Linked DNA regions of Macaca fascicularis. The protein of the gene in region 1 interacts with the protein of each later gene in a biochemical or structural test. Links are inferred from orthologs where the notes say so. Each region holds a gene or a part of one and is shown in the gene's direction. Other genes may lie near its edges. The genes, in order: GJD2 and LNX2.

Region 1 (4,469 bases):
TATAAAAGAGTCTGCCAGACAAGGAGGGAATACAGGGACCTAGGGCCAAGGGGAGTAGAAGGGAAACCTGGGAAAACACACCAAGCTTGGGCTAGGGGATCACATTCCATCTGGAAGCTAACTGAACAATAGGATATCCATTCGTCCTCACCCTTGAACCTCCTCCGTGTTCAGAAGGAAACTAAGAAATGCATGCCCTAGTCCTAATGTTTCATTTACACTTCATCCCTCTCTCCATTGTTAGTGGACACGTTTACTCCTTTGCAGTGAAAGGCTGCTTTCTTGGGGTAAGGGTGTCAACCCTAGCAGAGGATTTCAGTGATCTTTCTGGCGGCGAAGCTTACGCCATGTGTTTAAACATCATTTTATGAAGAAGTACGCTGTGAGTGGACTCAGGGACATGCCCTGCACCTTTCTTCCCAGTCCCTGGGCCACCAGCTACCCAACCACCTCGGTTGTTCCAGAAGTGAAGGCTCACCATGGTGTGGCTTATATAATACACATAGTGCTATGATCCCTGTGGATAATTAAAGCTAGGTCCCTTTATATGCCTAGGACAAGTTAACAACCCTTTCACGGTTGTGTTTTCAAAAGGATGACAACTACTTTCCCATTGTACTTTTGTACATTTACATCAAACACTCCCAACTACAGTGCCTCCTAATACGGACCCCTGGGCTAATTAGCAGCTTACTGTGATTGTTTCAATTTTTCAGCGACCAATTAAGTAGTTGCTCTAGACAGAACTGACAACACAATGTGAATTTTAAAAACCGCGATCTGCTGGTTGAGGGGAGAAAGCCAAACCCAGTAAAGAAAGTGGGGGCAGGGCGAGGCTGTGAGTGGCTCTGTTTCTGCTAGCAGAATACTGGGTCTTAAATTCAGATTAAATCACAGCTTACCTGACGAGTATCCCCCGCCCTTCCCACTAGTAAAATAATAACAATAATTTAAAAAGAGCAGAGCATCTGGGTTACTGCAATGGGAAGCGAGACCTTTAACCATAGCCACCCTACTCGCTCATTGCGAGGCACCTGTTAGATGCGCTCTTGTACCCTGATCCCCATACAGAGAGACAGCTCCACACCTGCATTTACCCTTCAGCCTAAATGGATTCCCATCAAGCCTTTCCCACTTCAGTGTCGGATCCACAGAGGCACCGAACCGCAGCCACTCTCCAGAAGCACTCTCAGCCCCTCCGTCCCCTAAGGGAGATTTAAAAGTGGTCGCCCCCACTCGCCCTCCCTCAGCCAGCATCTCCATCTAGGGAAGGAATTTCAGTTGTCTCCCGAAGGCCAAAAGCGAAAAGGTGAGGGATGCACTGAGAGAAGAGAAGAGAACATATACCCAACTCACTCCCCTCCCCACTCACCCACGCGTCCGCTCCCGGCTCCCCCCTCCGCCTGCTTGGGTCTGGCGGTCAGGTGAGGTTACCTGGGCTCCCCGAGAAGCCCCGAGAGGCGCTGCAGTCCTTTTTCGAAATCGCCCCGCTCCCCGCCGGGCCCCCAGGACTCTTGCCCCTCTCCCCCCCGCGCGCGTCCCCGGCCCCTCGGGCTCCGACGCGCAGCGACAGCCGCACAGCGCGCTCTGCTCCCCTCCGCCGACCTGGCGTGACGCAGGCGGAGACTACTTAAGGGCGGATTAGAGGCGGCGGCCGCGGATCCCCGAGCCCGGCATTCGGCTCCGCGCGCTCAGCCCCGGCCTCGCAGGCTGCCGCGCCGGAGCGCCAGGTGCCCGCCGAAGTAGCAGGAACAGAGCCGGTGCCCGGACCCTCCCCCGGCCCCCAACCTGCGGCAGAGAGCGGCGCCGAGACCCCTCCTGGGCGGGCGAGCGCTCAAAGACCTGCAGGCTGCCACCCCGCCCCTCGTCCCGGCGTCCGCGGGATCCAGACCCGAACCCCGGACGGCGCCCGAGGTTCGTGCTCTCTCTCTGGACCGCGCCAACTGCCCCATCAGTCCGGACGCGTTTGGATTTCTTTCCCCATTTCTTCTGTTTTAAGTACAATAATAGGAAAGGGGGATTCGAGGATTTTTTTAAAAAAATGCTTTTTTAATTGGGAGGCAATTCACTCCCATTCTGGAGGTGCGGCCCGGGGAGGGGCCAGGAGCAGGAACGTGCCCGGTGCTGCCCAGTCTTTGTCTGCTGCCTCCGGATGCACAGCGATGGGGGAATGGACCATCTTGGAGAGGCTGCTGGAAGCCGCGGTGCAGCAGCACTCCACTATGATCGGGAGGTAAGGGCGACAAGCCGGCAGTCAGCGGGCCCCGTCGGGCGGCCCCGGGAGTCCCTTCTCACACCCGGACTGAATCCCCCGCTCCAACCCCCAGCCCGTCCTCTGCCTCCTCCCCATCGTCCTAAGTCAAGGCTCCGGTGTTCCTGGCGATGAGGGATTACTCCTGACCAACTGCCCATCCCTTCCCCATCAAGCACCACTGGGGCTTCACTCTTCCCACATCAGAAAAGAAGCCGCTGGCTCAGTCTTGGTCCCTCCACTCTCCAGAGTCAGAGCCAATCTCCATCCGGTTCCCTAAATAGAATCTACAAAGAAGGCAGGATTGCATTTGGACAGAGAAAGGCAAATGGGGAGATGGATTTGCTCTTCAGAGCAGATGCCTCTTTTCTCAACAAATAATTAGTAAACTAAACTAAACTTATTTGGCCGTGTAAACTTACCGAGCCTACACACCCAATTGCCATTTTTGTGTCTGTATATCTATGTCTCTAGAGTTCAATATATATAAATATATATCTTCATAGCCATCTGCTTATATAAAGCATTAAATTTAATATTCATGTTGAGAATAAACTAAATATACCCATGGAGTAGTTACATGTAACACACCCTGTGTGTAGACCTTGAAGCATGCACCGTCTGTAAAGGTATTCTGTGTGCATTTGCCATATCCAGAGTGAAGGTGTGTTTTGTGTTTCTATACATCCTATATAGAGAGATGAAATCTATCTGTTCCAAGTAGACTATGTCCAGTGTATGATGTTGTGTGTACCTGGGATCTCTATAATATGAAATGTTCCCAGCTTACCAGCACTCAGCAGAAAAGGAAGAGACAAAAAGCTTTCCCAGATTCCCAGTTCAGTACCAGCCGGGGATGGACAGCTCCCCAGTCAAACGACTGGAAAACATCAGCAAAGGGAAGGGAGGAGCAGGGGTTTCCTGTCAGTGACGCAGCCCGTGAGAACCTCTCTCCCTCCCTCTTCCTCTGCTCAGGATCCTGTTGACTGTGGTAGTGATCTTCCGGATCCTCATTGTGGCCATTGTGGGGGAGACGGTGTACGATGATGAGCAGACCATGTTTGTGTGCAACACCCTGCAACCCGGCTGTAACCAGGCCTGCTACGACCGCGCCTTCCCCATCTCCCACATACGTTACTGGGTCTTCCAGATCATAATGGTGTGTACCCCCAGTCTTTGCTTCATCACCTACTCTGTGCATCAGTCCGCCAAGCAGCGAGAACGCCGCTACTCTACTGTCTTCCTAGCCCTGGACAGAGACCCCCCTGAGTCCATAGGAGGTCCTGGAGGAACTGGGGGTGGGGGCAGTGGTGGGGGCAAACGAGAAGATAAGAAGTTGCAAAATGCTATTGTCAATGGGGTGCTGCAGAACACAGAGAACACCAGTAAGGAGACAGAGCCAGATTGTTTAGAGGTTAAGGAGCTGACTCCACACCCATCAGGGCTACGCACTGCATCAAAATCCAAGCTCAGAAGGCAGGAAGGCATCTCCCGCTTCTACATTATCCAAGTGGTGTTCCGAAATGCCCTGGAAATTGGGTTCCTGGTAGGCCAATATTTTCTCTATGGATTTAGTGTCCCAGGGCTGTATGAGTGTAACCGCTACCCCTGCATCAAGGAGGTGGAATGTTATGTGTCCCGGCCAACTGAGAAGACTGTCTTCCTAGTGTTCATGTTTGCTGTAAGTGGCATCTGTGTTGTGCTCAACCTGGCCGAACTCAACCACCTGGGATGGCGCAAGATCAAGCTGGCTGTGCGAGGGGCTCAGGCCAAGAGAAAGTCAATCTATGAGATTCGTAACAAGGACCTGCCCAGGGTCAGTGTTCCCAATTTTGGCAGGACTCAGTCCAGTGACTCTGCCTATGTGTGAGAGGGAAGGTTTCACAAAGGTCTGGGGGATGGCAAGAGCCCCAAGGCAGATGACTGCTCAGAGGTGGCTGTGTCCACCCTCATTTATGTGACTCTCACCATTAAGATGTAGGATAAGACTGGATAAAAGAAGATTTTGCATCAATGGGAGAAGAGGAAAAGTGGAACCATTTTCACATATCACCTAATTGGTTCCACAGAGACAACTGGGTCGAGTGATGAAATGGATGAATTGGACTTCTTTGGGCCCTTTCTGTTCATGGCCCAAGCCTAATCCTGATAACACTGAACTTGCACAGCTACCAAGTAGGACTTAGCCCTGCTGAGCTCTTTATTCTGGTGAATGATG
Region 2 (4,575 bases), on another chromosome or scaffold:
TGCGCCCCGAGTCAGGCCCCGACTGCCAGGCCGGGCAGCGTGCCCCTAGGCCACCCGCTCCCCTTGGGCGCGGCCCGCTCCGCCCGCCTCCTCCTCGGCCGTTACCTCTCCAGCTCCTGGTCCTCTTCCATCGCTGGGGCGGTTTCCGGATCCTCAGGTGGTGCTGGCGGATCGGGGGTTCTGTCCCATAGCGCGAGGCGTGGAGACGAAGCAGGAAGGAAGGACAGACCGACGGAAGGCGCGGAGGACGGAAGGAGGGAGGAGGAGCCGCAGCGGCGCGGCAGGGCCCAGCCGCGGGGCGGGGCATCAGGCTCCGCCCCCAGGCCCCGCCCCGACGCGGGGTGGGCGGTGGCTCGCGGCCCGGCGGCTCACCTGGGCGACCAGGCGAGGCCACTCACGGCGGGAGGGGCAGGGGGTGGGGGCAGGGGGTGGGGCCAGCGCCGCTTTACCCCGAGGCCCAGACAGGCCTGCGGGCGCGCCAGCTCAACCTTGGTACCTTTCCCCAGGTGATGGTGAAGGAGCGGGGCTTTACCTGCCGCCCCCAAATCACTTCCCTTCCCAGTGGCAAGGGCGAAAGAGGCCCGACTCCCCCACTGGGGCGGTGTTGACCCAGGATGGCCCTTCCTGGGACCCCGGCCTCCTGGGCCTTCTGTGGGACGACAGGCTTAGGCTCTAGTCGGTCAACACACCTTGAAGAGGGAGGAGGTCACGTGCAAGATGAGTCACGACAGAATACGAGGGTTGAAGGCGGTATTTGTCTCACCGGGGACCTTGCAGTTGCATTCTCAACTGGGTCAAATAAAGGGCAAGAAAGAAATGTCTTTCTCTTTTGGGGGAGTGAGAGTTTGCGAAAAAACTGTTTCCCACCTCATCCTTTCCGTCCTAGGATTCCTTCTATCCCCCAGAGCGCGTCCTCTCCGGCTGTGGACTTCCTTTCCCTTTACCCGCTGTGGCTCTTCAAACCTCTTCACCTGCGGAACCCGCCCTCACCTTTGTTCCCAGGTGCCCAGCCCCCGCCTCGGCAACCTTCGCCACCCAGACTCGCTCTCCGCCCAGCTCCCACGTCCCGGCCCCGGCCGCGCTCCCTCAGGTGCGCTTCCTCTCGAATAGGCCCTTCTCCCCTAGCCGCCGGCCCCGACCCTGCCCCACTCCAGCTGTCCAGCTGTCCTGCGCAACTACGTTTCTGCTTCCCTGCGCCACCTGTTCTCCTAGCCTCCCCCCACCCCGCCCCGCGATTCCTCTGGATGTTCACTCCTTCCCGAGCAGTGCCACTCCTGGCAGCGGCCCGGGGTGCGCACAGGCACCTAGCCCCCGGGGCTTCCGCAGGGGAATCAGGCGGGCGGCGGGGACAGCCCGGGGCGGGTGGGGGAGGCGGGCGGCGAGGGCGGAGTGGTCTCACTCTAACCCAGGAGTGACGGGCCAATTCTGGCCCGCCTCCCGAGCTCTCGGATAGGTGGAGCCGCCCTCTGGTCCGCCCACCTCCCGCCCTGTGCTACCTCCGATTGGCCCGGCTGCGGGTTGGGCCGCTCGGCCTTAGCGCTGGCCCCCGGGAAGGCAGCAGGGGCGGTTGAGAAGTGAAGTCTTGGCCGGAGTTTGCTTCTTGCCAGGAAATCCGCGGTGGCGGCGGCGGCAATTCTCGGCGGAGCGGAGCCGGGCAGGCTCTCCGCTCCCTCAGCGGGCCGCGGAGAGCGGGAGCTGGTGGCCGTGCGCGGCCCGGGCAGCCGCGCTTTCCCAGTGAGTAACTTTGCCCTGCCCGCCTCGCTGCGCGCCCTCTCCCCGGCTGCGGGCAGCCGCCTCAGGTGCGGGCGTCGGCTGGGTGTGGAGGAGCGCCGCGCCCCGGGAGGCGGCCGGAGCGGCGCCGCTGCTCGCCCCGGAGCTTTGGTCGTCCGCGGCTGTCTTTGCTCGCCCGGGCTGCGGGGCTGGCGTGGACTCCGGTGTGGGGCTGGTCGGGGAGGGAGAGTCGGCGCCCGGTGCCCGCCGCCTGTAGGAGCCCTGGAGGCGGGCGGCCTCCGGCTGTTAGCATTTGCTGGTTCCGGCCACCGCGGTGCAGATCTTGGCGTCGTTTGCTTCTTAAGGGAAGGGAGAGGTGGGGTGAGTGTTTAAATTTCCTGTGTGTGTGTGTGTGGTGTCGGCAATGCGAGTGGCACTAGCTGCCTTTGTCGGATTTTGTTCCTCTGCAAAGGGATAGGGAGAGATCGTTCCCTCCGCCCTAGCCTGTTGCCTGTGAATTCTCACCTTTCTCTTTAGGCTGGAGAGGGTGGGAGATAGATTTGACATATTCCAGTGGGTAATTTAAAAATGCGAATCTTGATTTGGAACCAGTTGCACACAAAGCATCGTTCAGGAAATACATCACTCGCTTTTCAAAGCTTTATGCCACGTTTTAAACAAGGACTTTTGACTCATGTAGTGTTTCTTCTAGTATTTCAGTTTACGTTGAGTTTATGAATCCAGACGTTCGTTTGTGCCAGGAGCTAAAGTACACTTATGCATGGACTTTGCTGTATTTATTATCCTTTTTAAAATCACAGAAATCAGAAACAAAGTTGAGTGAAGAGCGGTGGCGGTGCAGGAGGAGGAACACTTGTGAGCTCCAGCTTATTGGAACTGCCTTTAAGAATTTCACATTCTTGCGGCAATAGTACTTACTTGTAAATTGGCCTTCTTCCCAGGACAGATTTTGATATTTCTTTTGCATGTACTTCGATGCAGCACTGATGAAGTTGGATCTCAGTAGATCAATTTTATTTACTTTGCTAGATTTGATTCCCACCCCCACACCTCTTTAGAAAATGGACTTTGGCAGGTAAAGAAGGAAGCGGGAATCTGGTATCCTTTTTGGCTTGTCAAAGCTTTGTTGAGCCATGAATAACAAAGTTTTGGCTTTTTAAGCTTGTCCAAGTCCCACATGTGAGTTTTCCCATGGGGTAAAAGTAGGCCAAATGAGAACCAAAGTAGAATAACATTACTTTTAATTCGGCCCACTTGTGTGTTACATTCTCCATATATCTTGTTTCTCTCGTCTTCTCATCAGCTTTGACATTTTTTCATTATTTATTCATTTAGCCACTGATAAAGTACCTACTGCATGCCAGCCATTGATGGCAGGGGTTAGTTCTTGCCCAGAAGTTTTCTCATTTGGAAATTGATCCATGCTTTTATCCCGCTAGTTACCGTGAAGTAATTTGAACTTAGGGAGCATTTCTGCCTGGAGACCTGTAAGAATAGGTGTTACGTAGGCACCTAGCCTTCAGATTGATTTGGGATATCGTACATTGTAGGCACGGAGCACGCAGGCCACTTAAAAATAAATGCATGTATCTTTGGGCTGTTGTATTATGAGCTTTGCATATGGGCTTGTCTGGCCGAAGGACCCAGTGTCCAAGGTGGAAGTAGTAGTCAGGGACATGTATGGTATTCATTTCAGAGCACTTGGCACCTTTTCTTGCTTACATTGGTCACTAAAATATTTACTGAATTGACTTGAACAGAAAAATGAAGGATTTTGTATACCAGATTAAGAAATTTGGACTTTATCCAGTCAGTGATACTGAGCTGCTAATTTTAAGCAGGAGAATGTCATGATAACATTCGCGTTCCAGAAAGATATCTGCAGCATCTGGAGGATGGTGGGCTTCCAGATGGGCGGTATTGAGACTAAGTTGGAGGCTGTTATAATGGAGGGGTTAAGTGCTCAGGGATTCTCTATTCAGATTACCTGGGGTGGAATCAAGCTCTGTCATACACTGAAACCTCTTTGTTCCTTAGGTTTTTCATCTCAGAGTTTGGGGGATAGAACTTGAAAAAACATGTATATTACTTAGAATAGTGATTGCCACATAGTAAGGACTTAGTAAATGCTAGTGTGCTGGCAGTGGAAGGAGAAACGACATGGCATTTAACGCGTATGACTAGGAGGCTGGACCAGGTAAGTGACTAGATAGGCTTAAGGGAGGGGAAGGATGAATCCTGGGTTGTTTGATTTCAGGCATTGATTGACATGTACTGGGTAAGCTGGCTGTGGAATTAAAACGGGTCAAATTCTAATTCTATTACTTACCCTTAGAATTACTATCCTGACAGAACTTTGATTTCCTAATATTTGGGAAATGATTGTCATACCTGTTCAATAGGGTTTGAGAAATTACACATGTAATGCCTTTGGCAGGGTACCTAGCACATTCCAAGTGCATAGATGATGACGTTAATGAGCTAGTGGAATGTTGGAGGATATGAGAAGAAGCAGTTAAAAACAATTGATGGTAGAGGTGTGGAAGGGGAGATAAGTTCAGTTTTGGACCAATCTAAGGAGGTGCTAAATGGATGGTTGAGAGATCCATGATGCAGTTGTTGGATAGTTGTGTCTCACAGGAGCTAGAAAAGAATAGAAAAGAAAAAAAAAGAGTTCACAGAAAGCCTTTATGGGTGTGGTAAGCTTTATAGGCGATTTAGAGGAAGGGGAGGGTGAAGGGGTTCACAGTGGAGCAATGTCAGAAGTGTTGACATTGAATATTAGGCATTTCTGTCCTTAAAATACATTTTGGCCACCATCAAAGAAAGAAGGACTCCAGGCTC

What was found.
Region 2: the proteins of GJD2 (region 1) and LNX2 form a complex in vitro, tested with the Homo sapiens proteins (2 studies listed by BioGRID and IntAct, with this or other methods). The link is inferred for Macaca fascicularis from reciprocal best matches to the Homo sapiens genes GJD2 and LNX2.

What each region holds. Positions count from the first base shown.
Region 1 is NC_088381.1:11,267,443-11,271,911, reverse strand, and holds the start of GJD2 (gap junction delta-2 protein), read left to right. Parts: upstream 1-1,658; 5' UTR 1,659-2,162; coding exon 2,163-2,233; intron 2,234-3,041; exon of another isoform or gene 3,042-3,146; intron 3,147-3,226; coding exon 3,227-4,121; 3' UTR 4,122-4,469. UniProt on the Homo sapiens protein: One gap junction consists of a cluster of closely packed pairs of transmembrane channels, the connexons, through which materials of low MW diffuse from one cell to a neighboring cell.
Region 2 is NC_088391.1:7,597,573-7,602,147, reverse strand, and holds the start of LNX2 (ligand of Numb protein X 2), read left to right. Parts: upstream 1-1,548; 5' UTR 1,549-1,734; intron 1,735-4,575. Other genes in the region: protein POLR1D, read right to left, coding at 106-131; DNA-directed RNA polymerases I and III subunit RPAC2, read right to left, coding at 106-131.